Linked DNA regions of Oryzias latipes. The protein of the gene in region 4 interacts with the protein of the main gene of each other region in a pairwise test. Links are inferred from orthologs where the notes say so. Each region holds a gene or a part of one and is shown on either strand. Other genes may lie near its edges. The genes, in order: casr; thrombospondin type-1 domain-containing protein 4; hspb7; filamin-A; fatty acid-binding protein, liver-type; refilin-A; pelo.

The links.
Region 1: the proteins of filamin-A (region 4) and casr interact in a two-hybrid assay, tested with the Homo sapiens proteins (2 studies listed by BioGRID). The link is inferred for Oryzias latipes from reciprocal best matches to the Homo sapiens genes FLNA and CASR.
Region 2: the proteins of filamin-A (region 4) and thrombospondin type-1 domain-containing protein 4 interact in binary tests that used the Homo sapiens proteins (3 or more experiments, as listed by UniProt). The link is inferred for Oryzias latipes from reciprocal best matches to the Homo sapiens genes FLNA and ADAMTSL4.
Region 3: the proteins of filamin-A (region 4) and hspb7 interact in binary tests that used the Homo sapiens proteins (3 or more experiments, as listed by UniProt). The two-hybrid records come from large-scale screens. The link is inferred for Oryzias latipes from reciprocal best matches to the Homo sapiens genes FLNA and HSPB7.
Region 5: the proteins of filamin-A (region 4) and fatty acid-binding protein, liver-type interact in binary tests that used the Homo sapiens proteins (3 or more experiments, as listed by UniProt). The two-hybrid records come from large-scale screens. The link is inferred for Oryzias latipes from reciprocal best matches to the Homo sapiens genes FLNA and FABP1.
Region 6: the proteins of filamin-A (region 4) and refilin-A interact in a two-hybrid assay, tested with the Homo sapiens proteins (2 studies listed by BioGRID). The two-hybrid records come from large-scale screens. The link is inferred for Oryzias latipes from reciprocal best matches to the Homo sapiens genes FLNA and RFLNA.
Region 7: the proteins of filamin-A (region 4) and pelo interact in binary tests that used the Homo sapiens proteins (3 or more experiments, as listed by UniProt). The link is inferred for Oryzias latipes from reciprocal best matches to the Homo sapiens genes FLNA and PELO.

The regions. Positions count from the first base shown.
Region 1 is NC_019872.2:14,170,710-14,173,638, forward strand, and holds the end of casr (extracellular calcium-sensing receptor), read right to left. Parts: intron 2,769-2,929; coding exon 1,440-2,768; 3' UTR 1,007-1,439; downstream 1-1,006. UniProt on the Homo sapiens protein: G-protein-coupled receptor that senses changes in the extracellular concentration of calcium ions and plays a key role in maintaining calcium homeostasis.
Region 2 is NC_019874.2:19,007,766-19,012,329, reverse strand, and holds the start of thrombospondin type-1 domain-containing protein 4, read right to left. Parts: upstream 2,929-4,564; 5' UTR 2,639-2,928; coding exon 2,616-2,638; intron 1,354-2,615; coding exon 1,290-1,353; intron 1-1,289. UniProt on the Homo sapiens protein: Positive regulation of apoptosis. May facilitate FBN1 microfibril biogenesis.
Region 3 is NC_019871.2:18,813,204-18,818,006, reverse strand, and holds the start of hspb7 (heat shock protein beta-7), read right to left. Parts: upstream 2,956-4,803; 5' UTR 2,802-2,955; coding exon 2,591-2,801; intron 935-2,590; coding exon 774-934; intron 1-773.
Region 4 is NC_019865.2:4,616,346-4,621,060, forward strand, and holds the start of filamin-A, read left to right. Parts: upstream 1-1,720; 5' UTR 1,721-1,850; intron 1,851-4,715. UniProt on the Homo sapiens protein: Promotes orthogonal branching of actin filaments and links actin filaments to membrane glycoproteins. Anchors various transmembrane proteins to the actin cytoskeleton and serves as a scaffold for a wide range of cytoplasmic signaling proteins.
Region 5 is NC_019867.2:7,694,586-7,697,923, reverse strand, and holds fatty acid-binding protein, liver-type, read right to left. Parts: upstream 1,559-3,338; 5' UTR 1,495-1,558; coding exon 1,428-1,494; intron 1,354-1,427; coding exon 1,181-1,353; intron 1,092-1,180; coding exon 999-1,091; intron 908-998; coding exon 857-907; 3' UTR 637-856; downstream 1-636. Other genes in the region: histone-lysine N-methyltransferase SMYD1, read left to right, coding at 7-171; isotocin-neurophysin IT 1-like precursor, read right to left, coding at 2,675-2,817.
Region 6 is NC_019867.2:20,472,776-20,477,341, forward strand, and holds the start of refilin-A, read right to left. Parts: upstream 3,160-4,566; 5' UTR 2,901-3,159; intron 2,784-2,900; 5' UTR 2,673-2,783; coding exon 2,442-2,672; intron 1-2,441. UniProt on the Homo sapiens protein: Involved in the regulation of the perinuclear actin network and nuclear shape through interaction with filamins. Plays an essential role in actin cytoskeleton formation in developing cartilaginous cells.
Region 7 is NC_019877.2:7,512,287-7,516,989, forward strand, and holds the start of pelo (protein pelota homolog), read right to left. Parts: upstream 3,260-4,703; 5' UTR 2,859-3,259; coding exon 2,818-2,858; intron 2,524-2,817; coding exon 2,431-2,523; intron 1,343-2,430; coding exon 1,192-1,342; intron 868-1,191; coding exon 777-867; intron 508-776; coding exon 344-507; intron 1-343. Other genes in the region: serine/threonine-protein phosphatase alpha-2 isoform, read left to right, coding at 3,733-3,787. UniProt on the Homo sapiens protein: Component of the Pelota-HBS1L complex, a complex that recognizes stalled ribosomes and triggers the No-Go Decay (NGD) pathway.

The DNA.
Region 1 (2,929 bases), on a different chromosome or scaffold from region 4:
GAAAAACAGGTCAGACTAGATTGTAATTTCCTGTATGGACACTGGAACATTGTCACATGTGTACAAAGGTTTTATCAGTTCATCATTCAGTTGGGTTTTGTTGATGATTTTTTTCAAGCTTACAAATAGAGATGTTGTTGATTTAAATTCAGATTGAGTCTATAAGCCCTCCCCAGTAGATCCATCCATTCTCTAGAAATAGTTTAGGATTCACAGTTTAGCATTGCCGTTTTTCTCCATGCCTCCTACACAGTGATATACACAACTGTAAAGTGTAGGCTTGCTGTTAGATTGGCATTTATGTGTGAGGCCGGGTTGCTCTGTTTGCCTTTGTCAGATACTAGAGAAAAACAAGCAACAGATGGAAAATGCTTCTAGAAGAACACCAAACTCGCCCTTTAAAAATTGGTCATTGCTTTTTTTATATTACTACTGGACTGTGAGAAAGTTTACCTTAATTCAAGATAATTGGAATGTTCATATTTTTTACATTTACTACTTTTTACTTTTCTGTAAAAACCTCTTCAGAAACTCTGTTACTCTGCTCCTCAACTCTGGAACTCAGTCCCACCAGACATCTAAAACAATGGTTCCCTTCCTGTCTTTAAGTCAAATCTCTTCACCACACCTGCTTAAAACACAGTTTTTTTTAAATACGAATCTAACTAACATGATAATAATAATAATAATAATAATAATAATAATAATAATAATAATAATAATAATAGTTATTATTATTATTGTTGAAAACCGGTCGCAACACTTCAAACTGTGACAGAACAATAACCCAAGAAACAATTAGTTTGCTGTGATTATCTCTTGCTCTCTAATAATTGTTTCTGTGTGTACATTTAATATGTTTTTGCTTCACTTTACAAGACCACAGCTCAAAGTACAGCAAAACACTGTAAAGCTTAACCTTTCACTCAGAGGGGGAAAAAAGTGACTAAACTCAAAGATAAAATGTTTTAACAACATTAAAGGTATTTATTTATTTTTTAATAATCAGTATTTCAAGACTTTATATTTTAAAGGCAAATTATCAAAAAGAAACTTTTTTTTACCAACTACATAAATAGTTAAAGTTTATTATATTGAAAGAGTGAGTCAGATGAAAAATCTTCAATTGTGGATAACATTTACAAAATATGACATGATTTCAATAGATTTTGAGCTTCTTGCAAGTTGAGGCATCTTGACTGTTCTCTCCTTTGATATCCTAGAATTATGAACTAGTTTTGTGAGGCTGCTGGTATCTTTGTTCCTAATGATGCTCCTCTTGCAGATGCCTGTGCTGGGTTCCTTGTACAATTTTCTGAAGAGCTTGAGTTTCATCGGAGCAAATGTATTGTCCATTCTCTACGTACACACACACATTTGCACTGATTTGCCAAGACTGAATGAACGTAGCCCAAGTCTGACAAAAACACGTCTTTGTTTTACAACATAGAACTTCTTCTGGATTCCTCAAAGCTCAAGGACAGCATGACAGTTCCACTACCAAAGCTCACCCGTGGCCTATTCATGTCTAAATTTGAGTCCTCATTAGTTTTGAAGCTCATTGTCAAAGATGGCGTTGAACCTGATGATCCAGACTTTCTCCTTGAAGATGTGTTATGCTTAAGTGTCGCTTTGGCTGCCACCTTAAAGGCGTGTGCTGCTGTGCTGCAGCGGACTTCCTCTATGGTGTTCCTTGAGGGTTTAAACAGGATGATATAGACCTTGTTGAAGAAGATGCAAGCCAGCATCCCAAAGCTGGATGCCAGAATAGCAATAACCTCCACGGCAGAAACAAACTTTCCATAGGTACTAAAGTATGCAGGGATAAAAGAGATCCAAACAATGAAGAATATGAGCATGCTAAAAGTGATGAACTTTGCTTCTGTGAAGTTTTCTGGTAGTTTGCGTGATTTAAAAGCAAAGAAAAAGCATATGGCTGCCAAAAGGCAGGTATATCCGATGAGAAATCCAAGACCCATCACAGAACCCTCATTGCATGTGATGAATATGATTTCATCAATGTCATGATTCCTATAGCTGGAGGGAGGGGCGTTGTAAAGCCACACCACACATATCATGACTTGCACAAATGTGCACAGAAACACAAGAAGAAACTGCAAGTTTAGTCCCCACCATTTACGGTGGAGACTTGTAGGAATCTTGGCCTCGAATACTAACAGAACTCTGTTGGTTTTCACAAGGATACATGAAATACAAAGCACAAAACTTATTCCAAAGGCTGGTTGGCGCAAACGGCATGTCCAGTTCTGTGGCTCTCCTATAAAAACTAGAGAGCTGGAGAAGCAGCAGATGAGTGAGAACAGAAGCACGTAGGACAGCTCTCGATTTGTAGCCTTTACAATTGGAGTGTTGCGAAATCTAACAAACACCCCCATTACAAAAGCTGTAAAAACAACACCAAGCACAGCAAATATGGTCAAAGCGATGCCAAATGGTTCAGTCCAGGAGAGAAACTCAATTTCCTTCAGGAAACAGAATGTGTGGTTGCCGTTGGACCATGAGTTATTTGGGCACTTGGTGCAAACACTGGAATCTGCATTAATTGAAAAAAAAAACAACATTTTTTTTTTAGAAAAATCTGAGTAGTGTGTGAAGCGGATTTGATTATTATTCATTTCAATACCTTTATGATTACTGTATTCTCCATCTGAACATTCTGTGCATTCAAAACAACATGTGGGCATGCTGTCGATGATCCCCTTCCTCGTGCCAGGTTCACAGTCCTCACTGCAATTAGAGAATGGCACCTGCAGGACATAGTAAGGACAGAAATATACTATCGATGTGAAAATGTTCTCCTGGGGCGGATTCAGTTTGAACAACAAGACCACTTTCATTTTGGCAATCCCTAGCAGGCTCTAAAGGAAACAAACTCAGTCTAGCAGGAAATCATCCTTAAAAATACACT
Region 2 (4,564 bases), on a different chromosome or scaffold from region 4:
CAAAAAAGCTTAAGAATAGCATGCTATAGGCCCTTTAAATCAAGTTTGAAGCATTTGGATACAAATCCAAGACAAGTCTATAGTCCGAAAACTTCTAAAATAATATTCTATTGTCACAAATTGTTGTTAAACTACTTTAAACAACTTGTGGGGACACAATAACAGCCAGTGGTGTGCAAACGCTGTGTAAAGACAGTTTTCATTTATTTTTTCTGACATTGATGTCCTGGAGCTAAAAAAAAAAAGAGGAAAAAAAACAGATAAACTTTGTCCACTTGCTTATCTGTTTCTGCCTCAAGTTTCTGCAGGCGATACTGAAGTTCGAGTTTTTAAGTCCAAGTCCATGTCTCAGGTGGCATCTAACCTGCAGCTGCCACATAACTGGGAGCATTAATGAGCTGTGAGCAGTGACCCTGCAGCAACCACTGCTAACCTCTGCAGCCACCACTTTAACTTCTGCAGCACCACTGAGGTGCTATTTTGGTCTGCTCCTAAAACTTTTTACAAGATACTTATTGTATTCATAAATCTGGAGGTCCTTTGAACTTTGCCATAAACACACGCATCACAATTTATTAAAAAAAAAGGTGACTTTTAACATGAGCAGACACATAACTTTTCATTGGAAAAGAAGCTTTCACTACTGTTTTTGAGTGATGGATTAAATAATATGGCTTTAGATTAAATTTTAATTATTTTAACTATGATGGTATAATTTATATTTTGTTTTCCTGAGCAAAAAAGGCTTCTCAAACCCTCTTGCCTTTAAAAGGATTTAAGCGTCTCTACAATGAGATCCAGCAATGAATGATTACAGCGATTAAAAAAAGGTCAACTAGACTTTTACGTAGCATTACATCATTTGGCAAAGTCTTGTCTCTGCCACTCAACCAAAACAGAACCTGGTGATTGTCTCATGACAGCATATTTTAAGGTAAAAGAGTTTCTGCTGGTGTGTGCGCGACATTTTGGTGCCAGATAAGCCTTAAAATCACTTTATCTGTTGCTTCGACTTAAATAACACACCCTCCAGCAGTGCACGCCCCTTTGCATGATTTTGCCTTAATCCCTGTTTGAGCAATCAGTAACATTTACTGTCACCGGGTTAAATAGCTCATCAAAGCATGACAGTATTTGGTCTCCAGGAGAGGATAACGATAAGAAAAAGGTTATTTCTAACTTTCTCTGTTCTGGTCTCATGCTTTGGGACACACAGAAAGGGAGAGGGGGGGGTGTCAACCTGACTTTTCAGTCATGTGTTGACCTAACTGGATGATCTAATGACTCACCTTCCTCTTGGCAGCTTTGGTTGTGGAGGTTGTGACCTCCACAGAAGCCAACAGCACACAGAGCCTGGAGGGATGCAGAACAGAGGGGGAGAGAAGTGGCAGAATCACAGGATTAAAAATGACAGCAGCTGAATGGGGTTCTTTTTCTAAAGCACATCAGTACTCCATGACCTAAAAGTGCAGCTAGAAGCCATTCACGTTCACACATAAGACTCTCATTATTCTAAGCCTATGTGATCTGTCTCAAATATTTTCCTTCAATTTACATTATTTAGCTGAGGTATAGGAATGTTCCATTCACTAAATAACCTGTTTCACCTGAATGGAAAGGTGTTTGTCGGGAAAAGTGATGACAAATCTCACGATGACCTCGGGGTTCAAACGTCTCAATCAATCTGGGAAACTCTTGGAAGTGCTTACAAGCACTTGCGTGTTTTCCCTCTGCACACACCCGGAGGATGTGGTTTTAACACTAATATGCAATAACCACACACAGGCTTAATGAGCCAACATCGAAAACAATCTGGGGTAGGACGGTTTTCCTGCAGGGAGGTCAGGAATTGGGATAACTCTAAGAGAAAATTAAGTTTTTTCTTTTTCTGTAGAAGTGTCAAAAGCTCACTTGTTTGTGTGCGAATGTCGGATCTATTTAGAAAAATCTCACCCATACACAAACATTCTGAGACAAGTGCAGTGGAAACAAGTGGAATAACGTCCTGCAGTCTGCCAAGAAATTGCTCTGACCGTGCAAGTACAGCCGGGCTCGCTGGGATAAAGTTTGCAGCGCTCACCAAGAGAACCAAACCATCACCGCAATCTCCAGTCCGCAAGCCACATGTAGGCAGTGTAATTGGTTCGTTTTACCCAATGTGGTGCACCGCCGCGGTCTCTGGAAGCTTCCCCACGCTGCAATACACAATTACCCCCGAAAAACACAGAGAAAAGTCCCGGACAGCCCGACACAACAGAGCTGCTCAGGCCGAAATAACGACCCCCTACGCGGTTCCACGTTTCCACGGCCGCTACTGCAGAGTAAACTCACTGAGAGGACAGGGAGAGGGTGAGAGAAACCTTTAACTGACAAATACTTTCAGAAAAGTCCAATTTGAGTGGAAACACACAGTTTTTACTCAAAAATGCGCGCCTCTGGGTAAATTCCAACCATTTAACGCAGCGAGCGGCGCGCAACAAGTGAGCCTCGCGCGTAAAAGTTTCCCGCACCAACAAAACCACCGTAGAGACAGTCAGCACAAACACTCAAGGAAAGATGCAAATCCACATGCGGCGACAAGAATCAGTCAGCAGCTGGACGGGACCGACTTTTACCTGATCAGTGAACCGAGCTGCATGCTCCAAAATTCTCCTGCACACTGACACTCTCAGTGATGCTTTGGGTCCAAATCTGAGCTTCGTTCCAGCCTGAAAGACATGCGAGGACTGCTCCTGCTCTGTCACCGGGAGGAGTTCCGTGTGTTCCGTTCAGTCCACAACTTTTCACAGGTCCTTCCTTATTATAAACTCCCGTGACGCATGAAAACCAGGTGGGGGCACAAAGAGACGCAGGGAGAGGGGAGACACAAAATGGACAGATTATACAACTCTCGCTCGGGCTCCTTCTCACTCTCACATGCACAAATTATACACTCCCCCTCCTCTCCCTCACGCCTTCCTACCCTCTCTCTCTGTCATACTCACAAACTGTTGGTCCTGACTAAGCAATAATAATCCTCAGAGCCTCGTTTTAGTTGCACAATCGAGAAAGAAAAAATAACGTTTCCTTGTGCGTTTTCTCCCACACTGAATAATAATGAGCGCAGACGATCCTGAGCCTTCTTCAAGAAAGTTGGGAAGGGACTATCTCATGAGTCTGACACTCTGACAAGCTCAAATGATGTGGTTTACAGTTTGAATATGATTCATAGTCCCCCCCCCCCCCATTCTTGAAAAACAAGCAGATATTTTTACATGAGAAAAACATGCATTCTGTGCACTGTTTAATCCCATTGAAACACCAGAAACCAAACATGCTTCAGCAATTTGGTGTTTGGGATAAGTGCACCCAGGAGACAAGCCACTTCTGAGGCTGAAATGTGCCTCTCTGAGTGTGTATGATTACATATGTGTGTGTGTGAGGGCTGAAACAGATGTGAAAAACCATCTGATGCCATCTCATTTAAACATGATGAAATGACAATCCACACAGCCCTGCCCAGCCAGACACTTTACTAAAATGAGTAACTTAGGTCAAATGACCCTCAGGAGACATGGTGACACACACACACACACACACAGGAAAAAATTATAGGTTCTTTACAAGATTTCTCCAGCGGCACGTGTACAAGAAAGGGCTGGTGATTTCTAAACCAATAAAACGTAACTCAGTTTGAAGGAAAAGGCTCAGGATGCACACAAGCCTTTATGGAGTTTATACTGTTCACTCAAATCAGGACTGGCATCAATGTAATATTTGAAAGATGACATGTTTTAAGAAATTACTCCAAAATGCTTAATTTTATATTGAAGTCTCCTTAGTCTTTTAATCATGATTAGGCCGTTTTAGGCTGAATTTAAAAAAAAAAACACGTGTCATTTTCTAGGACATAGTTTCTGCAAAGCAGCAGGAATCATTCAGAAATTCACCTCTGAGTTGTGGGCGGCACTGTTGGTGCAGAGTAAGCCTGCCCTCCTTTCCCATCATCCCTTTGTTTACCCGCTGTGCTGCTAGCTTACAGCCCCTCAGGAATTGGTGGCGTAGGACCTAAATTGGAGGAGAGATCAGGTGTGGTGGCAGTAACCATAACATATAATAAATACACTGAAACATAACACACACAAAAAACATGGAGAAACAAAAGAGGGTGAAAAAGCAGAACAGTTTACCTAAAAACCAGGCACTTAAATGGACTGAGGGCAATTAACTGAAATGAAGACAACTGTGGATGGTGATTAAGCTGAAACTGGTCTGACTCAGAAAGGGCAACCAAGAACATGGCCAAAACATAATATCATTACTAAACCACAGAACCCTTACAGCACCCCTCCCCAAAATGGTAGATCCCAGATGCCCCCAACACCTGAGAAGAAGGGACCTGGAGGAAAAAAACAAGTCCAGAAAACTGTGATGATGCCAGCAGCTAAACAGATGTGAAGGGTTCCAGAGAACCCCTTCCTCAGGAACAGGCACGAGGAAGAAAAGCAGTCCAGATGACTCTCCCCAGTGACAGGACACAAGGGGAGCAGTCCTGGTGATCCCCTTCTGGGTCACCGGGGCTGCT
Region 3 (4,803 bases), on a different chromosome or scaffold from region 4:
TGGTACACATAAAACTGGAATAATCATTATATTGGCATTACTGATCATAAAAAGTCAAACTGAAAAAGCTAAAAAAAATGGACTTTATCTGCACTTTACAAGGCACTTTACATATATACAGTATATATATATATATATATATATATATATATATATATATATATATATATATATATATATATATATATATATACTGGTGGTAGGCGGGCGCCTGTGTTTGGCAGCGGAGCCGCCACCAGTGTGAGAATGTGTGTGTGACTGGGTGAATGGGTCTGTGACTGTAAAGCGCTTTGTCCTTGTAGGAAGAAAGGAGCTATATAAGTATACGCCATTTACCATTTACCATATATATATATATATATATATATATATATATATATATATATATATATATATATATATATATATATATAAAAGACAGAACTGAATTGCAGAATTAAACATGGTATCTTAGTTTAAATCCTGATAGCTGAAATAAGATAACCTGTTTTCTTTCGAAAGACAAAAATTATATCTGAAAAAGGTGCGATGGTCTGCACCATTACTGTTTCTTTTGAGATGGACATGGACAATATGAAAAAGGCTCATAAATACACATACATCTTGACAAACAGAGGTTACATTCATCTGATACTTAAGGTCTTTGTCTCATTTGGATAATCAGCTTCAAAGAAAACAACCAAAAGAAGACTTAGTCCTAAAGAAAGAAAGTAATCAGATTTTGTATACCTGAACAGGAAATGGAACCAGCCTGGGTTCCTTCCGTCACTCACCTTTTGGGCTTGAATGACGATTTTTTGATTGTAGGCCATAATTACAATATCCTGTGGCTCAAACTGGCTGACATCAGCAGAAATGTAGTAAGTATCACCAACACATCGCACCCCGCTACTTGCTCCAGTCTGCAGTCCTGCCACAGTTCCACCTGCAGAAGCTGTGGAGACAAAAAAGAACAACTGAAGGATGTCAGCTCCAGAATATGGAAAGTAGAAAAACCTTGCTTAAGAAAACCCTAAACTGTCATCAAAACAAGAAGATGAAGTAAAAAAAAACAAAAACAAAAAAACATGTATCCATGTAAACCCTTGTGCCATCTTGGATGACCCTTACATCGACGTGTTCTCCCTACCATGACAAAGGTGGATAAAGGTGGAAAGATTTCATGTAATCCATGGACACCAGTGAAGATCTCAAAGCATTGAAGAAAAAAGGTTCAGCGCACTGTGTAGTGGGTCTAGATGACCCAACTCCCAATGTTAAAGTGCCTAGGATAGAACAAGGGAGTTTACTATTCATATCTGCTGAGGAGAATTATTGTTGTGATTATTCCACATGTGAATTGGAATTTTGCACTAATATCTCTTTGATGAACATATGTGTGACATACATGTGGTATGCTAAACTAAGCTTTATGGTCAAATACGTCACATTTTAGCCATTTCATTGTCTTTCTTTTTTATGTTTGCTTTAAATGTTGTTCCTTTTAATCGATTGTGTCTTATGACTTTTTACTGTTTTAACTAATAACATATATTCCTCTGTCAAGCACCTTGTGCTCAACAGCTTGTAGATGAAAAGTGCTAAGTAGTTGACTGATTGAAATATGCACAATGTAAAAGATTTTTTTTTCTTTAAATAAAATACATTACATTCATACTTTACATCTTCATTTTAACTTGAGTTTTAAATATTTTTAAAGTTTTTGTGTTGTTTATTAAATGTTTGTGCTGTCTTTAAACTGTGCTTGTGGACCAATTTTCAGGAGTGCACTGATCAACATCAATCAATCAAAACTTTATTCATACAGCTAAATTCATTACAAAGTGTTTTACTTCTTAAAAAGTAACCACACATCTTCCACCCATTACATGTAAACCCCCAAACAATTTACTTCCTGACTCTCAATATAACACAGTCCAGGAGACATGGAAAACCTTGAAGGAGTGGCTAATAAGGAGAACCATCAGAATCAGCAGTCTCATGAGCAGCGAGCCTCTACGGCTCACTGTGAAAACTGTCCATCATTAGTGACAACCTGTCATAAGAAAACTGGAATCAAACATTTGCTCTCTAAAACTAGAATTTGGTTGGAATTGAAAAGTAAAAACAGAAAACACAAGACGTAAATTACAAAATAACTACAATCAGAATAAATGAAAGGAAATCTTATGATGTGGGAATAAAAGAATTGTTAAAAAATACAACATAAAATTAGCCATGGACAGCTAATAATTGGCCTCATCTTCAAAATCTCGGAAGGTTATTAGAGCAGAAGCACATCTTTACAACCTACGGTGAAAAAACCTCACTGTGGGTTTTTGATTTTACTGTAGGAACAGTTAAAAGGCCATTGCTGGAAGATTTGAGAGTTTGTAAGAAGGAATGTGACCCACAAAACACTTAAAACCAGTACTGGGACCTCAAGATCAACCCTGAACCAAACAGAGAACCAACGCAATAAAATAGGTGTAATGGGAACCTGCTCTCTGGTCCTCATTAGCACAAATGCAAAACATGACATACTAATGATGACAATGATGTTTTAGTAACTTTAAGCCTGCTTAATGGTAAAACTAGATGATTCCCTCACCTGAATGCTCACTGGATGAACTTCTGTTCCTGCTCAAGGGGCTCAGGCTGCTGTCATCTCCAAACAAGCTGGAACAGTTAGAAGAATCAAGGAAGGGCTCCAACAGAACATCGAGGGAATCTGTGGATCCGCTCAGTGATCCCCTTGATCGATAGGTGCTGGAGGTGCTGTAGCGAGATGAGGAGCGGTAAGAGGAGGACACAGACGACATAACTGAATCGCAGAAACGTTTTACTCATAAAACTTGTGTGATGATGAAAAAGTGTAGCAGGATTTTTCCCAGTCGACTCTAAATACAGAGAAGGAGCTTTGGAGGACACTGATTATGACTACGGCTGGACCTCTTCCTGCCATCCTGGCTGCTTTTATGCATTCCTGCACATTCTTCAGCCTGGGGTTTAGCATGAACCATTCTGGGTCTCAAGATACTTTTAGCCTTAGATGGTTGTTTTTCCAACGACAAGAGCCAAGAGTGTAACGGACAAACTGATAGTAAGTGGAGACTTCTTATTCACACTCACACACAAATACACACTACAGATAACATAGAGGGGGGTGCACAGATGCAGACAGAAATAGAAAAGTGCTTCAACAGTCAGGTCATCCTGACCATGCACCCAAACTGAAACGTCACCAGCAATGCAGACAAAGTGCTTTTTTTTTTGATCAACTGATCACTTCACATGATTAAAATGTGAATATTTGATAAAATATATTTTATTCATCCTCTGGCTGAATTTTTTTGGATGATTTTGGTTGTTTTCAGGAGGCAGCACAGTGGTGTAGTAGTTAACACTCTCTCCCTAGAGAAAAGGTTCAAATCAAATGTGTGTGTTAGTGTATGTATACGTGTGTGTGTGCGTGCGCATGTGTGTGAGTGTACGTGTAGTATATGTTTCTGTGTCTATATGTGTGCGTGCATGTGTGTTTTTGTTTGCATATATCTGTTTGTAATAGAATTTCAAGGTGTGTTTGAGGTTTCTGTGTAAAAGTGCATGAAAACCAGTATGTGTGTGTGTCCACCCACCTCTCAGTAGTCTGGTAAACTGTTCATAGTGTCCTTGCCTGTAGTGGTTTGAATAAGTTCTAGCAACCCCATAACGCACACTGGACAAAGCAGGAAAGGCAGACAAGACAGTAGTGACGATAGTTGTGATGAGAGTTATGACGATTGCAGTAATGATTTTTTGTTATGATTGTTGAGACATCTACAAACAGTGTCACAAAGCAACAGTAAAGAGATCAGAGTCCTGTGGTTTCGTGTATGAGGTGAAACATGACATTCAGCAATATTTCAGTTTGCCAGCATCATTCACAGCAGAGGCTCCTCACATCTAAGATCAAACTCCAAACACTTTTTGTGTCAAGCTGTGTTTATTGATTTGACAGAGTTAATTTGTGTTCAACAGCTGGCCCGGTTCTTAGGCAGAAAGCTCCAATTAAACCTCAGGAAGCTTAGAAGCATGTTTCACTTTGGAGGAAAAGTGGAACCACAGAGACTCAGATGTCTTCTTCAGCAGTTTTCACCGTCAGCTTTACACCACAGATGCTGGGAAAGGCTTTTTCTCTCGTGGCTCACCATGATCCCTGGAGTCCATGCAGAGTCTCCCTCTGGATGATTAACAGATGGCAGTTCTGGAGAAGGTGTCCACATCTGAATGCAAAGCTGATGGTGTTAATGAGGCAAGAAAATACTCAGAAACATCAGGGAAGCTCCATTTGGCATCTTTGAGCATCACTGGGTAATTGGTAATTGTCAAATCAGCCTCAGTTGTGTATCAAAACTTTTACTTTAGCATTGTCTGTATGTGAGAGCTGGACTAAGTGATCCCTCCTCCCTCGCGTTCCAAACAAGAAGTACACACTGGCTCCAAGAAGCCAAAATCTCATAGACTTCTAAACAGAAATAAACCACTTTTACTCAGTCATTATATTTGTCAGAATAACCATTCTCTGATACCTTTTTTCAACATGTTCTTGGTAACCCTTGTGCTTTCCTAGGCACTTTGACATTGGGAGTTGGGTCATCTAGACCCACTAGACAGTGCGCTGAACCTTTTTTCTTCAATGATTTGTGATCTTCACTGGTGTCCATGGATTACATGAAATCTTTCCACCTTTAGCCACCTTTGTCATGGTAGGGAGAACACGTCAAAGTAAGGGTGGGGTCATCTAAGACAGTGTTTTTCAACCTTTTCTGAGCCGCGGCACAC
Region 4 (4,715 bases):
TACCCTAAAAAAATGAATGGCCCAAAAATCGATTATGGAGTTACAAATACAGTTACAAAAGGAAGTCCAAAGGAAGTTTTAAAATCATTATGGGATGACGATACTACAATCGGTTTGGCGATCATTTTGTGCCAAAATCTGACATTTAGCGATTTTCACGTTTTTCCACAATACAATTACAAAAAAATTAGCTTTTTTGACAGCAATTTTCACAAAATTTCACACACATGCTGCTAACTTAAGTCAATAAGTTAGTCTGGAGTTTTGTTGACCTTTGACCTCGGGTATAGGCCAATATCTTGAATTAAAAAAAAAAAAAGGTCCTTTAGTACCAAATACAAACAAAAACTTGTCCCAGCCACATTAGCATAACTACCATAATAAGCATTATTAGCATCATAAGCAATGTATTTTTTGAGACAGTCAATGATGCTGATAATGCTGGCACTTTTAGCCACCTGCAGTTGGATGCAGTTCAGACGGCCTTGCAGAAAGAGACGGGGGGGAGTTAGATGTGCGTAGTGGCTGTTCAGCAAGTGAGGTCGGGTCAAAGGTGGGTGGTGAAAGCGGCGGTGACGCTTAGACGAGGGCAGCGAGGGCAGCGAGGGCGGTGGTCGTGCGTAGAGGTGGGTCGGGTTGAGGCAGTTAGCAAGGGTGAGGGCGTATAGGAAAAAATTAGAATGTGCAAAAAAATATGTAAAACGTGAAATTCTGTAATTATGTACACAAAAGGAAAAAAAATCCATCAATTTCAAAATTTAATTTAAATTTTAAAAAATTGTCTTCCTTTAAAATCCTGTTTATCCATATCGAGAGCAAACACTGAACTGATGAATAAATACATGTAAAAATGCTCTCAAACTGGACCAAAACATTCAATCTGGATTCATTTGAAACGTTTGATTAATTAGGATTTCATTTTAGAATACAGTAAAACTAACGCAAGTAAAACTTGATCCTTTTAAAGTGCTAAAAAATCTCCACCGGAACCTTTCTCTCAGAGCCAAAGAAGCTGTTCATTCATGAAGTTTTCTAATAATAAAAGCAGAATTGCAACACATTTAAAGTCTCCTGTCATCTATAAAAATATCTGTGTTCACTGCTAACAAACGACAGGAGGTTCACAATGGCAAACATCTGGCTCTTGTTAATCCAAACACAGATGAAAAAACCTCAGACTTTCAGAATGATGTCATTGATGTGGCTGGATCGTTTAAATCCATCACACTTTGAGTCAGGCTCTGACCTCTTCGTGGCTGCACCTCTGCTCCTCTTCCTCCCTCCCCACTGATGAAGGCATCAATGGCCGCGCATTTTTGTCTCCTGAGCCAATGCTCAGCTGGAGAGCATGCACGCAGAACCTCTTTGTGCGCGTGAATTGACGCGCGCGCGCACCAACCAACCCCAAGTTGAGTCAAAGCAGCAGTGATGAAACAGTCTGTGCTGTGCGCGCGTTCATATGAGCGCTCGAAAGGAGGTTGGGGGGGGGGGGGTGTTACCCCCAGGGGGGGGGGGGGCAGGTGACATCATACTTTTAAATTCCCACAGGCGCGGTCATGACGTCTCCTCTACAGAAAAAAAAAACCTGAGGCTTCACCCGTTTACCAATTAAGGCCCTCCCGACAGAGGAGCAGCGGGGGCGGGGGGACCGTGCGCGCAGGGGCCGGTCCTTCTTCAGTTTTACGCTGCAGCAAGAACATCATTTCCCCCACCGGGAGTGCGCGTGGGGAGGACGGTCCGGGACTGGAGGAACACACGCACACTTACGCATTCCGCCTGTGAGAGCGCGATCACAGAGGAGCAGCTGAGACCCACAGCGGACCCACGCGCCCGCGACACGGCACGACCAGGTGAGTCTCGCGCCCCTGATGTTCAGCTGCAGCCAGCTCTGCTGGTGGAGGATCTGTAGAACCTAACTTGACGATCCTCAGTTTTTACGCCAAAATGTTCCGCTACTTTCGCGCCTCTCTGCAGGCGGCATCACAGTTTCGGGGCTCCGCTCCAAATAAGGGAAAACACAGACAGATCCTTCGGGGGGTGGGATGAGGGCTCGTGATGCTGCCTTTTCTTACTAGTGGGGGCAGAGGTGGACACGCGCGCGAGCTGGGAGCAGATCCCGAGGCGCAACAAGAACTCTGGGGCCACCTGGTGCACGAGAGACGGCGACCAGGTGGAAATGAACAAACTAAAAGATTTTCTTTGGAATGAATTCAAACTACTAAAATAATATTTTTTTTTCGTCTGTATTTTTTTTTGTTACAAATAATGTTAAGTTGGTTTTGGAAAAACTGGCTTATATTTTCCAACTAAAGCTAAACAAATCATATTCTTAAAAATGTATTAAAATTAATTAAAATAAACGTCTTAAATCCGATCCAAACTGTTTGACCACAATGACCCCCAAAGGTCATCTATAGGAATATTTTACATATCTACATTTTAAGGTAACCTCTGGAAAGAGTTTTTTCTCTGTCTTTTTTTAATAAACTTTATAACCTCTGGGCAGAGTTGTTAAAGGATGTCTCCATATGTAATGCGTGTCTAAAACTTTCACATTTTGAATTTTGGTATTCTGAGGTCTCCTGGGTTCTGAGTGACCCCTCACCGCTGTTGAATGCAACTCAAATCTGCGGTGTTTTTTCTTTCAACTGTTGCCAAGTGCTTTTAATTAAATACCAGTTTGAACTGGTCATAAAAGAATGCTTCAAATCTACGAAACAGCTCGACTGAACCTTTAAGTCTTGGTTAAACAGCAGCTGGATGGGGGGTGTGGGTGGATTCGTTCCTTCACAAGAAGGTGGAGCTGCTCTGAATCTAGGATCCAGCACGGAGTTTCGTTTTTGCATTTTTGGTTAATGAAAGGCTCAGAAGAGCCTCAGCTGTTTGCAGCTCAGCTTCTTTTCACGAAGCTGCTCTTTGGATCCAAACTGGGTTTAATGCCTCATGAAGCTTAGTGAGATCGAAGCTTTTAATGTGTTGGATTTGAATTTGTTTGATTGTTTTTTCACTGAATTTAATTCACCTGCCCTTTTTAAATGAAAGCCAGACTGTGTCCACTTTTGATTATAGTCTTTGAAACTAAAAGACCAAAAATCTGACTGTGCTCCTGGAATTTTCCAACACTTCTGAGAATTTCACTTCTTTTTTCTTCTGCTGCTGTTCATAGAACAATTGTAATAAAACCATCAATTAAATAGCTTGAGCCCTCAAACAAAAGACCATACATGATAACTTAAAAGACAAACATATGAAAACAATTCAAAAGTAGCAAATATCCTTCAAATAAATCATATTTTGGGTCAGAGTTTTGAGAATTTTCTAAATTTCATGAATGAGAACTTTATGGATGGTTAAAGACCCAAAATTGTGTTTTTAGATAATGGAGGACACGTTTAAAGCTAATTTTGCTCAAATTTGCATTTCTGAGTATTTCTTTACTCAAATCGTGAATCCGGAGCAGACGGGAAAAATGCTGTTTGTAAAAGACCGTAACAGTGATGCAGTTGGCAGATCACAAACTCCCTGCTCCGCTCCATTCTGATGCATCCATTTATAAAAAAAAAAATAGATACAATAACGTCTTGGTTTTCCTCATCCGAGCTGGAATCTGGCTCGAAACTGTACGGGTGGATAGCTCAGATATTGCTCGCCATTTTTGTTGCACTGTTGTGGGAGTGAGGGGCTGTAAGCCATAGGAGGAGAGAATGTAAACAAAGGGATGATAAGAAGGTAGGGCTGTCTTACGGTCCCGCCCCATAACTCAGAGGCACATTTCAAACCAACACCTGCCGCCCTGCAGAAACTATGACATAAAAAACAACAGATTTAAAAAAAAATTGGGGTGAAAACAGCACAATCATAGTTAAAAAACCACTGGGAAAACTTTGAAAATAGATCACAAGCTGACCAGAATGAGACTTTAAAGGCACAACGTTCATCAAATCGAGCAAATGTTCAGATTGGGTCGTTCTAACTGAAATCAGACTGGCTGCTGTGTACCACTATTTGAAAGCATCTGGGACAATAAATAACCGTACTCGGGTGAAAATATTGGTTCTGGAGCAGTTTTTTGATTCATTGTCAGAAGAATGTTTGGTTGAGGTCATAGAATGACTTCAAAGTGGAATTCCTTTTTCAGGAATTAGGGGAAACACAATGACTTTTGTTGAGCTAGATGTCTCTAAAACACCTCTGACTTTTTTATGACATTGCATCTTTTATGGTTTGGCATTACCATGACAACAGAAAAAATGGCGAGGGACGTGATGCTGATAGGAGAGCGTGCAGAGGGAGGTCTGAGGAGGAAACCTGTCCTCAGTTGACGTGCTCTGCTTTGCTCTGCTCTCTTTGGCACCAGTTTGAGAGGCTGAGGAGGAAAACCGCATAATCTCTGACTCTCTCTACTGTGTGCCATGTGGTTGGCAATGTTTTTGCTCACATTGTTTAACTTCCTGTGCTTATTTTTTATTTTTTTGAACTGCTCGCTTTAGATGTAGAGGATGAGAAGCTGCTGAGAAAAGATGCAGCTCTGGAAGAGAAACTTTTATTTCACATACTCACCCTTTAAACTCATGAAAACTGTACTCAGTCAAAGTTTGATGCTTGTTTGATTCATGAAGGTTATGTCTTACAAACATTTTAACTCACGTACCACCTGCAGTTCTGCAGCCCATCCTATGGTTCTGGTTCTATGTGGAACAGTTCATTAACCTTAA
Region 5 (3,338 bases), on a different chromosome or scaffold from region 4:
GTGCAGGCAATGCGTGTGCAGACAGAGATGGAACTGAGGATGTTCAAACAGAACGAGTACGTTTACCACAGCATGAGAGAAGCCGCCCTGAAAAACAAGCCCATGACCATGTTGCATGAACCCAAGTCTGTGGAAGAAGGAATCAAGAATCTCTTCCACCGGAGGAAGTAACTCCTTATGCAGCTAGAGTCCGGAGAGCTTGTGTAATGTGAACACTTGAGCGTTTCTGAGTGTGGAAATGACAGTCTTTACATTTAAGTGACACAGCCATTTTCTGTATCATGTTTTGTAGTTACACTTTTATTAAAAAATAAACTGTCCTGGTAAAGTGTCGTGGTTTTCAGCCCATCTAATTAACCCTAAATTACACCGAACCAGGCCTGCACAATAAATCGCAAATTTATTGTGATCTACGAACAAAATATAATATAAAAAATATCATTATGTACAATAGGTACAAAGGCGTTTTATAACAAAATTGTTGTTTAACCTCTGAAGATAGTAACAGGGCCCCAGTTAAGCAGAATTAGCCACTAATATAACCCAAAATGTGATGTGAAGAGGATAAATACAAGAAATTAAAAATGAGCAAAGTGTAGATTGCAAGTTTTGTAAAAAAAAAAAAAAACGCTCAGAAATGTCTGTAGTTGATTTTATTTTTGACATTTCCACATGACAGATCTTTTGGCAAATGAATACAGCAGAACTGTGAGGAATGTAAAGTGGAGATTCTTCCATGCCCAGAATTGAGCTAATTTTAAGACTGGAGGAATTTTTGATTTTAGTCATTAATGTCATCCAAAACAACCTTTTTTTTGACAGAAACTGCTTCAAGTATGACCCAACTGCAGTTGAACTAAATCCGTTTGTATGTCGTCTTGTAAACAATGTCGCCAAGAGTCATTGTCTGCAAAGAAAACACAAGTACCGGTATATTATACTTTTTAAATTTTATTTCGATTTAGCAATTTTTACTCAAAGTCCATTTGCATTTTTACCGTCACTAAAGTGTTTCCATCCACCAGCTCTGTGACAATGTCCGCTCTTTTCAGACTCATCATAAGCTTTGTGCCCTCCTTCTTCACCACTGTCTTCAAATCAAACAACAGAACTTGATGTTTAAATCTTTTTTTTATCATAAAGCATTGCCATGTTTAATGAGTAAAACATTTTTGCTTACCTTGATTTTCTCTCCAGTGACAGACAGCATCTCAGTTTCTTGCCCAATGGTGAAGCTGTTGATTATGACATGTGATCCTGTGGTGACCGTCACTCTGAAGTTGTCGCCATTTTCCTCCATCTCAGTGATGCTTTTTAAGCCTTTAGTTAGCTGGATGTTCTCATCAGAAATCCCTGTGGCAGAAAACTTTTAGTTAAATGCATAAAAGGCAAAAACCATCACATTTTAATCCCACATGGTAGCTCACCAACAGCTTTCATGAAAGCTTCATAGTTCTCCGAAGATTCGAGCTGGTACTTTCCAGTGAAAGACATAATGGCTGCTGTAGTGAAGGTAGACAAACAGCTGGCAATTGTAGACTTTTATACTCCACGGGGTTAATAATTTATACAATCTGACTGGAATTAGGGCTTCATTGATAAGCTGAGCTCACCATGAAATCAACCACTACAGATAAGAGTCGACAGGAAGCTGGACAACACACAGAGCTAACAGACCAAATTTGGTAATCCAAAGTTCAGAGGAGAAAGCAGTAAATCTGATCATATTTTGATGTGTACAAATAAGGACCTAAACACACGAGTGACCCTTGTGACATTTTTTTTTCTCAGCTTTCTCTTTCCTTATAGCCTATTGTCCATTTGGTTACTGTTTCTTCTTTTAACATTGTTTTTCGATAGTTCTTTCAAATCGTCCCACCGATTGTTTTTTGCTGTTGTTGTTGTTGCTCTTTTTGCCTTTTTTTAAACTACACTATACTGTAGGATAGAAAGGGAAAAGATGATTTGGAATATTTTATCCTGTATAGGTAAATATTGTGTTTGACCTGGATTAGTTAAAGTTTGCATCCAGACATGACCAAGAAAGAAAACGCTTTGCAGGCCTTCATATGAAAGTAAATCATGCTAAAACGCTTGTTACTTTTGTGCTGCAGCTTTCAATTCCATAGAAACGTCAGTAAAATGATGCCAAATTTAAATAAGTTATTTTATTAGGAACAGATCTACTTTGCACTGGTGTAACACTTGATTGAGGTATTATTTTCACTGAAGTTTTCTACCTGCTCTGGATAAACTGCAGCTGTTTGGTGTTGGTCAAAGGTGACTAGATAATCACTCTGAATTTTGCAATAGCAATGTTCTTAGAGTGAAGGTGAGATGACGGCACACACCGCACGAGAGTCTAAAGGAGAAGCAGGAAAAATAATCATCTATTATCTCTGATATGGCTAATGTTAACCTTGTAATTACAGTGAAAAGGAAACAAGTTTAAAGTAAAGCAAGACAGAGTTTGTTATTGTGTCCAAACTTTATTTCAGCATGCAGATTTCTGGATGATCTCTCTGTGTTCATCCCTAGTTTTATACATAAAAAATATCAATCAATGCACCCTATAGAAGCACTCCAAGATCAAAGTTGATGATGGACCAAAAAAAAAATTAAACACGACTATACAGAAGGGCCGATTTGTTGCCACGGGACTGTTGGGAGCAGCTCATTGGTGGATTCGATGAGAAGTGTGGCCGGCCAGATGGAGGAGCCTGAGGAGGATGTCAGCAGGGTCGCTGACCTCCAGCGGGCTGCTTTGGTCGTCTCCGTTCTCCTCCATAAAGCAGGACTGGTCTGTGGTGCAACTCTCTATGATCAGGTTTCCACGAAAAAAACAACAACAAAAAAACAATTTATTGCATCTTTATAAGCTGTTGTTATCACAATTTATGGTTCATAAACCCATTAGATCAAAAGGACAAAGTAAAGTTCAGAATCTTTTCTTTCTCACTCATTTTACTGCCTGTTGTATCTGGTCAGAGATTTAAAAAGACAGTAGACAATAAAATAAAATTTGAATTCAAAAGAAATTAGTAAAAAGGAGAAAGGCACATGCATTTGTTTAACCCATGGACGACTATTGATGCAAATATGTATCAAAACACTTTGGCTCAGAATTTACTATAGCTGAGCAAAATATACATGATTTTTTTTATTCTCAAAATAAATTCAGGCATTGAGGGGTTAATCTTATCCACACATAATTTCTTTTTTCCTCATCAGCATCTATGATGAACAATATTTCACTTTTCTCCAAGCAAGACAAAAACAAAACCATTACGCCTATTGGAATAATATTGTTAGCCATCCCATAAAAGGATAAATATAAT
Region 6 (4,566 bases), on a different chromosome or scaffold from region 4:
GCAGAGTTTCACACCTCAAAGAGTTTGGGTTGAATTGCGTGTTTCAAGTATATTTAAACGATTTAGTAGAGATCTCACATTTGGCTGTGTTTTTCCTGCAGGTGTGTTTGTGAACCACAACCACGACCCTGGCACCTCTCACATTGCACAGGGGGGAGGCTGTCACATGCTGTCACCCTCTGCACATGCCACCAGAGGAGCCGAGCAAGAGCAGGCCAAGGGCGCAGTGTGAAGCTCATCTTACTGCATCCTCACAGCTGCTGCGTTTTGCTTCAGTTAAAGCTGAGTAAACTATATCTGCAAGCCGTTCGATTCCTGTCCCAGGGTTCCTCATGGTCTGAACACACTGTACCACTGTGTGATTATTTGCCCTCGTTGCTCCAGAGCATTCTGCACATTTCTCCATGCAGGACTCTGGCAGCATCTGTAAAGCAAACACTTGTGAATGGAGGGTGAGTTACCTCCATGCAGCCAATCTACCAACAAGCACATAAAGCATAAGCCTGCCTGGAAGCACAGTTTGGCCCAGAAGAAATGTTCTCCAGCTGAGCAACAAAGCAGGACTACTGAGGGAAAAATGAGCACAGCTTTCCCGCTGCTGGCTGTTTGTGATGGCAAACCCCTCACACTTTGCATTCTTTGATGTGCATGGATGAGCATCTGTATCATTTCATGAAACACGGCTTGAAAGATAGTGCTCTGACTGATCCACTATCACTTAATCAGTTTCTTTGAGCTGTTTATTCTCTATTTTGTAGATCTTGTAACTTTCTTCATAATGCATTTAGAAAGAATTGGCTTTTCCTGCATACATTTAAATCCCCTTTGACAGCAGTTTGTTGAATTGCAAAATATTGAAGATGCATGCAATCATTTCCAACGGCTTCAGTCACCCGTAAGCCTTGTGCTATCCTAGCCACTTTAACATTGGGAGTTGGGTCATCTAGACCCACTAGACAGTGTGCTGAACCTTTTTTCTTCAATGATTTGTGATCTTCACTGGTGTCCATGGATCACATGAAATCTTTCCACCTTTATCCACCTTTGTCTTGGTAGGGAGAACATGTCAATGTAAGGGTGGGGCTATCTAAGATAGCACAAGGGTTACACAGAGCGTGAGTTTTTCTTTCTTTATTTTTCTTTTTTTTTACAAAAACAAACCCAAAAGCCAGCTTATTTAGAATTCCTGGGAGCAAAAAACCAGACAGTTTCACTAATTGCAGCCGCACCATGCACCCCTGCATTGTTGAAGCCTCCTTCTGACAACTTAAAGTCAATCTGAACTTGCAGAACCGTGATCTTAAAGTCCTGAAAACTGGGAAATGACTTTCACTTCAACCAACCCTGTCTGGTGCAGCAAACAAGTCACCGCAGGTTGAAACACTCAAAACTTCTTTGACCTTTAAGAGACCAAAACGTGTACCACATTGCCAATGAAGCCTTTGTTAGAGTGGAAAATGGTCAAAGTACATTGCCTGTAGATACATGTGGATAGTGCGTTTGATGGAAACACAGCACTTTGGTTAAAATGTTAATTTTGTGAAGATTAGGGAAGCTGCAGTGATAACCAGAGGGTAAACAACTGGCATGTTTCTGGTTTGGATGATATCTGACTTAGACTGGCTCTGTTGCAGCAGAGACGATGGACCGTCATTGGTGAAGGCGCGCCTGTGCACACTTTCAGCTTCGAGCCTCCTGATGTTCACTCACCATGCATGTGGAGGTAGAAGTCTGACAGCAGAAAACAGAAGTACAACTTCTTATCAGTCAGAGATTGGTGAGATTTTTTTAAGAAATTTTAAGAATTTTTGAAGAAGCATCATGCCAAACAGGTTGGGTAGGTTCTACCTGGAACCAGTTATCATTTTAAACTGGTTTAAAACAAGCAGTTTCTGAGCGCCTACTATTGAGATTAAATGTGTAGGATTATCATTTCAGCCCACATGACAGGGTTGATGGGCCTCATGCCTCCTTGTCACAGAACATTACCATTCTCTGTCAATTGAGCTGTCCAAGGAGGAAACAAAGTGATTATTCTCACATTAAACTGCCAAAAGTCCACAAAACTCCTAGATCAAAGAGGAGACTGCAGCCCAGACATGACAGGACCTTCAAAATATCTGACCTTCGGGGGCACCTGTGTGGTACGGTCACACCTGATGCCCAGCAGTGAAAACACCAAACAGGTTTGTGCAGCAGTTTAATGAGAGCCAGTGACATCCTCAGCCTGAAAGCAGGATCACAATTATGCCACTGAGGAATCTCATTCTGGGACAGGGGAAAGAAAGCTTCCAGATGTTCTAGACTGACCAAAAAAAATGCTCCCAGCAAGTTTCCAGTTTTTACTTTACTGTTCAATAACAACCTGATCTGCGCGCGTCAATGAATCTAAAATGATTCCAATCCAGACTTTAAGACAGTAAAATGCAGTGAACACAGACCTGTTCTCTTACCAGTTTGCCTTCTCGGCGTTCCTTTTTGTAAAATCCATGGTGGCTTTCCACGGGCGTCGTGCAGCTGCCGGAGCGCGACTCCAGCAGAGTCGCAGAGAGGGAGCAGAAGGGCGGGCTGGGACTTGGGGGCAACCCTGAATCCGGACTGTCGAGCAGCCCCTCTCGATTCTTTCCTTTTAGACTATCATCCATCGCTTGTAAGTGCAAATGCCCCACCATTTCTGGGAGGAATTAGATGAGGGGGAAAACTAATAACAAAAATCACACTTTCCCCTCCGTGTTGTGCTCCAAGTTGCTTGAAAAGACACAATTTTGACTTTTTGTCGACTTCTGGAAGTACACAAAGGAACAGAAATAAAAAAAAAGTGTCGTTTCCTTGTGAACAGAACAGATCTCCATCCAGAGAGATGTTGGCTAATCTGTTTTTGTCTTCAAAATGTACTGTACCTGCGCGTCCTTTAATCATTAAAGATATTCCAATCGTGCGTCACGTTGATACACTTTTCTTTTCACACTCCAAAACCCGGGTTTAAGTGTTGTTTACTCTAAAAAAAACAACCAAAAACACAACAAAACACAAAGTGGCTGTTCGTGTGGTAGCGATCTGAATGAGAGCTCCTCTTCTTTGCGTCCCCGCGTATGACTGAGACGAGTCTGCGTGCGCTCTCCAGAAGAGAGCTCACTCCTGATGATCCTGCCAGGCTTTTTTTTTCGTTCTTTCTGTACCTGGATTGAGTCCAGCCCTCATGATCTGGATTACTTCCATGCGCCACCGGTAGGGGCGAACAGATCCCACATTTCCTGCTGAGCTGTGAAGTTTGGCACCCTGCGTTGAGACGCGCTTTGCTGCGCGGCTGATTCTGTAATTTAGAATTAAAAAGGAGTTATTGATTGTTTATGTCTTTTATTTGTTTTATTGGTTCTGTCAGGATGACAGGGACCAACAGGCGAGAATGGTTATTGAGATTTCTCCCTTTTAGATCCAATCCCCACATCACTGTTAAAAACATTTGATGACTTCTTTGAGTTTGAGCTCTTAAACATAGTAAATTCTTCTTTTCAGACAGGTGTCTTTCCTGCTGCCATTAAAACGGCAGTGGTGAAGCCTCTTCTGAAGAAGAGTAATTAAGGTCATCACAATTATTGACCAGTATTTAACTTAGCATTTTTACGTAAAATGATTGAAAAAAACTGTTTTAATCCAATTAAATGACTTTTTAAAAGTATCAGTCTGTGTTGTGATTTTAGGATTAACTACTGAACAGAAACGGCCCTTGTTAACATAGTAAATGATATTAAATGTAACCTGGACTGTCAGAAACTCTCAGTCCTGGTACTACTTGATACGAGAACAGCATTTGATACTGTAGATCACAGTATTTTACTCAGCAGTCTGAGAGGTTTGGGCATCTCTGGTACTGTACTAAAGGGGTTTTACTCCTATCTCACAGATCGAAGATGTTATGCAAGTATGGATACATGCTCACCAAAGGTCTTTGAAATCAATGTGGGGTCCCCCAGGGTTCAATTTTAGGCCCACTACTTTTTAATCTACATATGCTGCCACTTGGGGATGTAATCAGGAGGCATGGTGTTTGTTTTCATTTTTTTTTTAATGAACTTTATTATTCAACACAAATGGATCAAATATGTATGACAGGAACAATAGTCATAACAACAACAATGTCAGGGGATGGTACATGTATTACAAAAAGATTGCAGATGCTATGCAATGAAAATATTCAGAGACAGACAGTTTTCATAAATATGTATGGCCTTTTTGTTTAAACTATTAGAAATAGTATGTAAATAAGATTCTAATTCTTTAATTATTAAAGGAAAAAAAAGTTGTGATGAAGAAAACTTTGATTTATGAATATGAAATTTACCAAATATTATAATTAGATTAATTGCCAATTTTACGTTTGATCTTATATTTTTTTCGTGTAGGCCAAATATGATATGTTCAAATTTCATCTGATATTGTGAATCTAATTTATAATTTATAAAACGTGCACAATCTTTCCAAAGTTTTTTAGTAGTATTACAATTCCAAAATAGGTGACTGATTGTTTCTGGGTGTTCTTTACAAAAAGTACAGTTGGGGTCAATA
Region 7 (4,703 bases), on a different chromosome or scaffold from region 4:
TTGGGGTTAATTAAAAATCCTACCTATAACTTTAAAAATGTATACAGCTGCATGCTGTATTTCAAATTAATCACAAATGTACTTCCTCACCTGTCATCAAACTTAAAGCTATATATACCAATAAACATGAATGCTATGAGTGGCAGTCTTTTATGGTAAGAAGGCTGTATTATCTGGCTGGGATTCATTGTTGTTTAATGGGAAGTGCTGATGTGTTGTTCCTGGTTACTGTCAGTCAGTCATAAGTTTGCTCATATTCATCACAATATGATCCACTACGATTTCTGTGAAAGGGCTATTAAAAAATAAAAAATGAACTGGAAGACTTCCTGATTGAATGAACCTTTTCATGCTGGCTGCAGCTCCCTTTCCTCTTGCGCGGAATGGTGACCTCGACTTTGGCGCGGAGCAGGGTCATGGCGGAGGTCACCAGCACAATGTTCGCCAGACCCTCCTGCATCACCACTGCAGCCACATCTGCCTTCTGAGACGGATCACACGCTTGTTCTAAAGCAAAAAGGAAAAACGCTTCATTATTAAAAGTAGAATAAAAGTGAGTTAAACCATTTTTTCAAATGTATAGAAACATTTGTTGGATTTTTAACTACCGGTACTTATTCCATGCTGATCAATGCAGGAATTTTTTTAAAGTTCATCAACATTTGTACAACTTTTTTTCTGCTATGGAAATATCCTGAAAGAATATGTCTTTACAGATATGATTACCAATGCTCATCAAATTCTGTTTGTTCTCATCTACAGTAACAGCTGCTCACCGATTCTATCCAGCACAACGCTGTCCCAGCTCTTCTTAGCGAGAGTAAACTTCCTGTTGAGTTCGAGCTCAATGGTGTGATAAGCTCCCATCTATTAAAAAAAAAAGAATAAAATATTACCACTTTCTATCTGGAAAATTATCTCAGGCCTGGAGGTTTAACATCATAATTCAACTTTTAATTTTCTAAATAAGAACAAATATTGATCAATTTAAAAACACTTGAGAGTTTGTTCTACCATAATTGATGTGTAGTTTACGATTAAATAAGGCCTAATTGTTGACTTCAGTTAAATCTTGATACAGTCATAGCAAGTACAAAATGAAAGATGCGACTAAGAACAGAAAAAGATACACAAATCTAACTGCAAAGAAAATCTAAAATGTTAAACCAATGTCGATCTGAATTCTCAGACCTTAACAAACTGATTCTCTTCAAGGTTGGTGCCTTTCACCCTCAGCCGACAAGCCTGTGTGTCAAAGTCGATGGTCTCCACGCACAACGTCAGAGTGGTCCGAACCCGAGAGCTGCCCACGCTTCCAGTAGCAGACTCTGTCTGCACCTTTCTGCGAGTACATGGGACAGAACATTAGTTCCATTTAGCATTTGCACTCTTTTTCTTAAAACCGGCAGCGATGAAAATTGTGTTTTTGGTGTTTTTACCTTGTTCTTGCGGCATTTATAATTATGATGGAGGACATGTATAAAGAGAAGTACCGTAAGCTCAAAATTGCATTTCTGAGTCTGTCTTTATTCAAATAATCGTGAATGATAAACAAATGTTTAAAAATAGGGCTTTTTTTTGGGCGGGCCACAAGCTTCCTGCTCTGCTCCATTCTAATGCATTCACTTTTAGATGAATAGATCCATGTAGGTCTTTGTTTTCCTTTGTCTGAGCTGCCATTTGGCTCAAAACTGTATAGCTGGATAGCTCCAATATTGTTCCCCATTTTTGTTGCATCCATAATGTTATGTTTGGGTTTAAGTGCATAAACAAAGAGCTCTCAGCAACAGAGAGGGGAAGGGGGGTTGGGTTGACCCACCAACAACTTAGAGGAGAATTTCTAGTAAACTACGGTATTGTACTGCCCCTCTGGAGAAACTATGTCCTAGAAAACAACATCTCTTATATATAAATATTTTGGCTAAAAATGGCATCATCATAATCAATAGACTAGCGGGAACGTTTTTTAAATAGTTCAAAAATGATAGGTCTTAGATAGATTGGACCTAAATGAAAAATTCACTGAAACCTGTCATTCATTCATTCATCTTCTAAGCCCGTTTGTCCTTTTCGGGGTCGCGGGGCTGCCAGAGTCTATCCCGGCCACACGTGGGTGGGGGCAGGGGACATCCTGGACAGGTGGCCAGTCTGTTGCAGGGCCACAAATCCAACACCCATGCACACTCACATTCACACCTAGGGACAATTTACAGTCACCAATTAACCTATGAAATATGTTTTTGGATGGTGGGGGAAAAGACGAGCTACGCATGCCCGGGGAGAACTTGCCAGAAAGGTCCCTCATTGGTGTTCTGGTTCAGGTCCCCCAGCCGGGACTCGGACCGGGGGTCTTCTTGCTGTGAGGCAAGAGAGCGCTAACCACCGCGCAGCCCCACAGGATTTTAGTTGATAGGGCTAAAGAAAAGTCACCTGATGGTTGAAGCTCTGAGGCTGTCCCCCACTTGGAGAAGGTTGTAAGTGTGCCACATATCCTCTGCCTCTTCAGGAACCAGAGTCACCTGACTGAGAAAGCATTTCCTCATATAAAATATTCTACACATTAAAGCTGGTTCACAAATATTATAACAGTTAAGCCTTATTGTTTTGAGCAGTCAGCTACAATTTCTTTGGTGGAACGGTACAGATATATTAAAACATGGAATATCATATTATTATATTGTGCTCTATGTAAACAAAGAATTGTAGTATTGTCCACGTTTCCTGCGTACAACAAAACTATTGTGTTTATTTATTATCAAACTACAAAACAGTATGATGGTAGCTAGCTAGCACTACTAGCTATAAGCATTCACTCACCCGGCATTATCTTTCTCAATATCTTTTTGGAGCAACTTCATGGTAGAAAGGTCTTTAAAATACAAAATGAATATTAGTGTGAAAGTGAAAAACTTGTATTAAGCCAAGCTCGATACATGTTTTGTTTTTTAAGGTAAACAAGCTAAACTAAGCCATGTCAGAACTTTAGAATGAATCGCTCCTGTTGAGAGCCAATGCGTGCTTGCGTCACGCCAACAAACGTCATCAGCTCTTCCCATCAAAGTCACTTCCGTGGGTGTTGCTTCACTGCGCAACAAAAACGAAGCTGACCAAAGTCAAACATTTCTGGATGGGTGCACACAAATAGTTTATTATTTGATTGTTTTAAGAAAGATATTATTTTATTTATATGTCTAAACTTTGATAATATCAGGAAACGACTGTCCTCCTTACGCTGCGGGGTTTTTTTTTTTGAGAAAAGTTAATACTGACGGACATTCAAAATAGCCAATCAGAAGCAAGATTGAATGAAAAGTCCCGCCCATGTTGGAAAGTGGACCAATGGCAACGCGAAAACAGACAGGCCACTTCCGTTCAACCTTTCTTTGAGCTAACGATCTTCTGTTCTTTTTTTGGTCGATGGCATGGTGTTAGTAGATACGAAAGAAACAGCGACGTAACGAGGAAATACTGATATCAAACAATTCAAAAATCTTGTCCTGAAATATAGATAGGTTTTTTGCTGTGCAGCACATGTCATCCATCATATTTTTAACAAATCCGTTTCAATCCTCAAATTTTGAGGTTGTCGATCATTCCCCAAGGTTAGCTAGCTAGCGGGCTAACGACGATAGCCGATTAACGCAAAAGTAGTTAGGCTAACTAAATCGGTAAGCGACAGTACGCTTCGAATTTTTACTATTGGGAACAAACCCGACGAAAGAGGGGAATAGCATGGCAGAAGCCGACAAGCTGAATATCGACTCCATTATACAACGTCTGCTAGAAGGTAAGACATTTCTGGCGATATTTGTTCATTCGGTGCCATTTTAGCTAACAGAAGACAACGATAGCCACCGGTGCTAGGCTAGCAAGTTAATCATCTCCCGCGTCTTGCAAAATTGTCTCAGTCTAATTGTGGTATATTTAGAAAACAGTTCGACTTTTCCTTTGATATTCATTCTAATGGTGGAATCTTTTAAAATTAAAATTCAGGTTTATCTATATATGTGTTTTGGAAAAGAAAAATCCCAATATTTTGCTTGGCATTTTTACAACATTATTAAATTTAACATGGTCGCTTTTTTCTGTTTATTCGCTGTTTACCTTACTATAAACATTTTTTCATTTTGATTAGTATTAAAAATTGTACCAGTAAGCTTAGGCACATATTGTTGTTTGCAATTGTCTATATGATGTGTGTATTGATGTTATTATTCGCAGTGCTTTTTTATTACTATATTTATTGTATCATTACATTATGATTATTTCGGTATCTGTACTTGTTTTTGACGCCAATTTGGATGGGTGTTTGGTGAATCCCAAATATGTGCAAGAATCCTTGTAAATATGGTCAAGTCAGTTTGTCCACAAAACAAGTCTCTGTTTAGAGGTCAGTCTGAATAGTTCCCAAAAAAGCATTATTTATTCATAAAGTTAGACTTGAAAATAAGAACGTTTACACATAAAAGTAAGTAAATGAAACGAATTTACTTATTCTGTCTTCATCACTTTTTATTCTGTAATTATTATGTTTTGAATATTTCTAAAAGGTACAATATAAAATGGGTAATGATGTTATAAAATGTGACAGTAAAGATTCTGTTGTAACAGTATTTTGTTATACCTCTAAGAATTTGTTTTACCTTTGTACTAATAATTATGTATTAATTTTTTTTATTAAATTTATAATTTAATTGTTTACA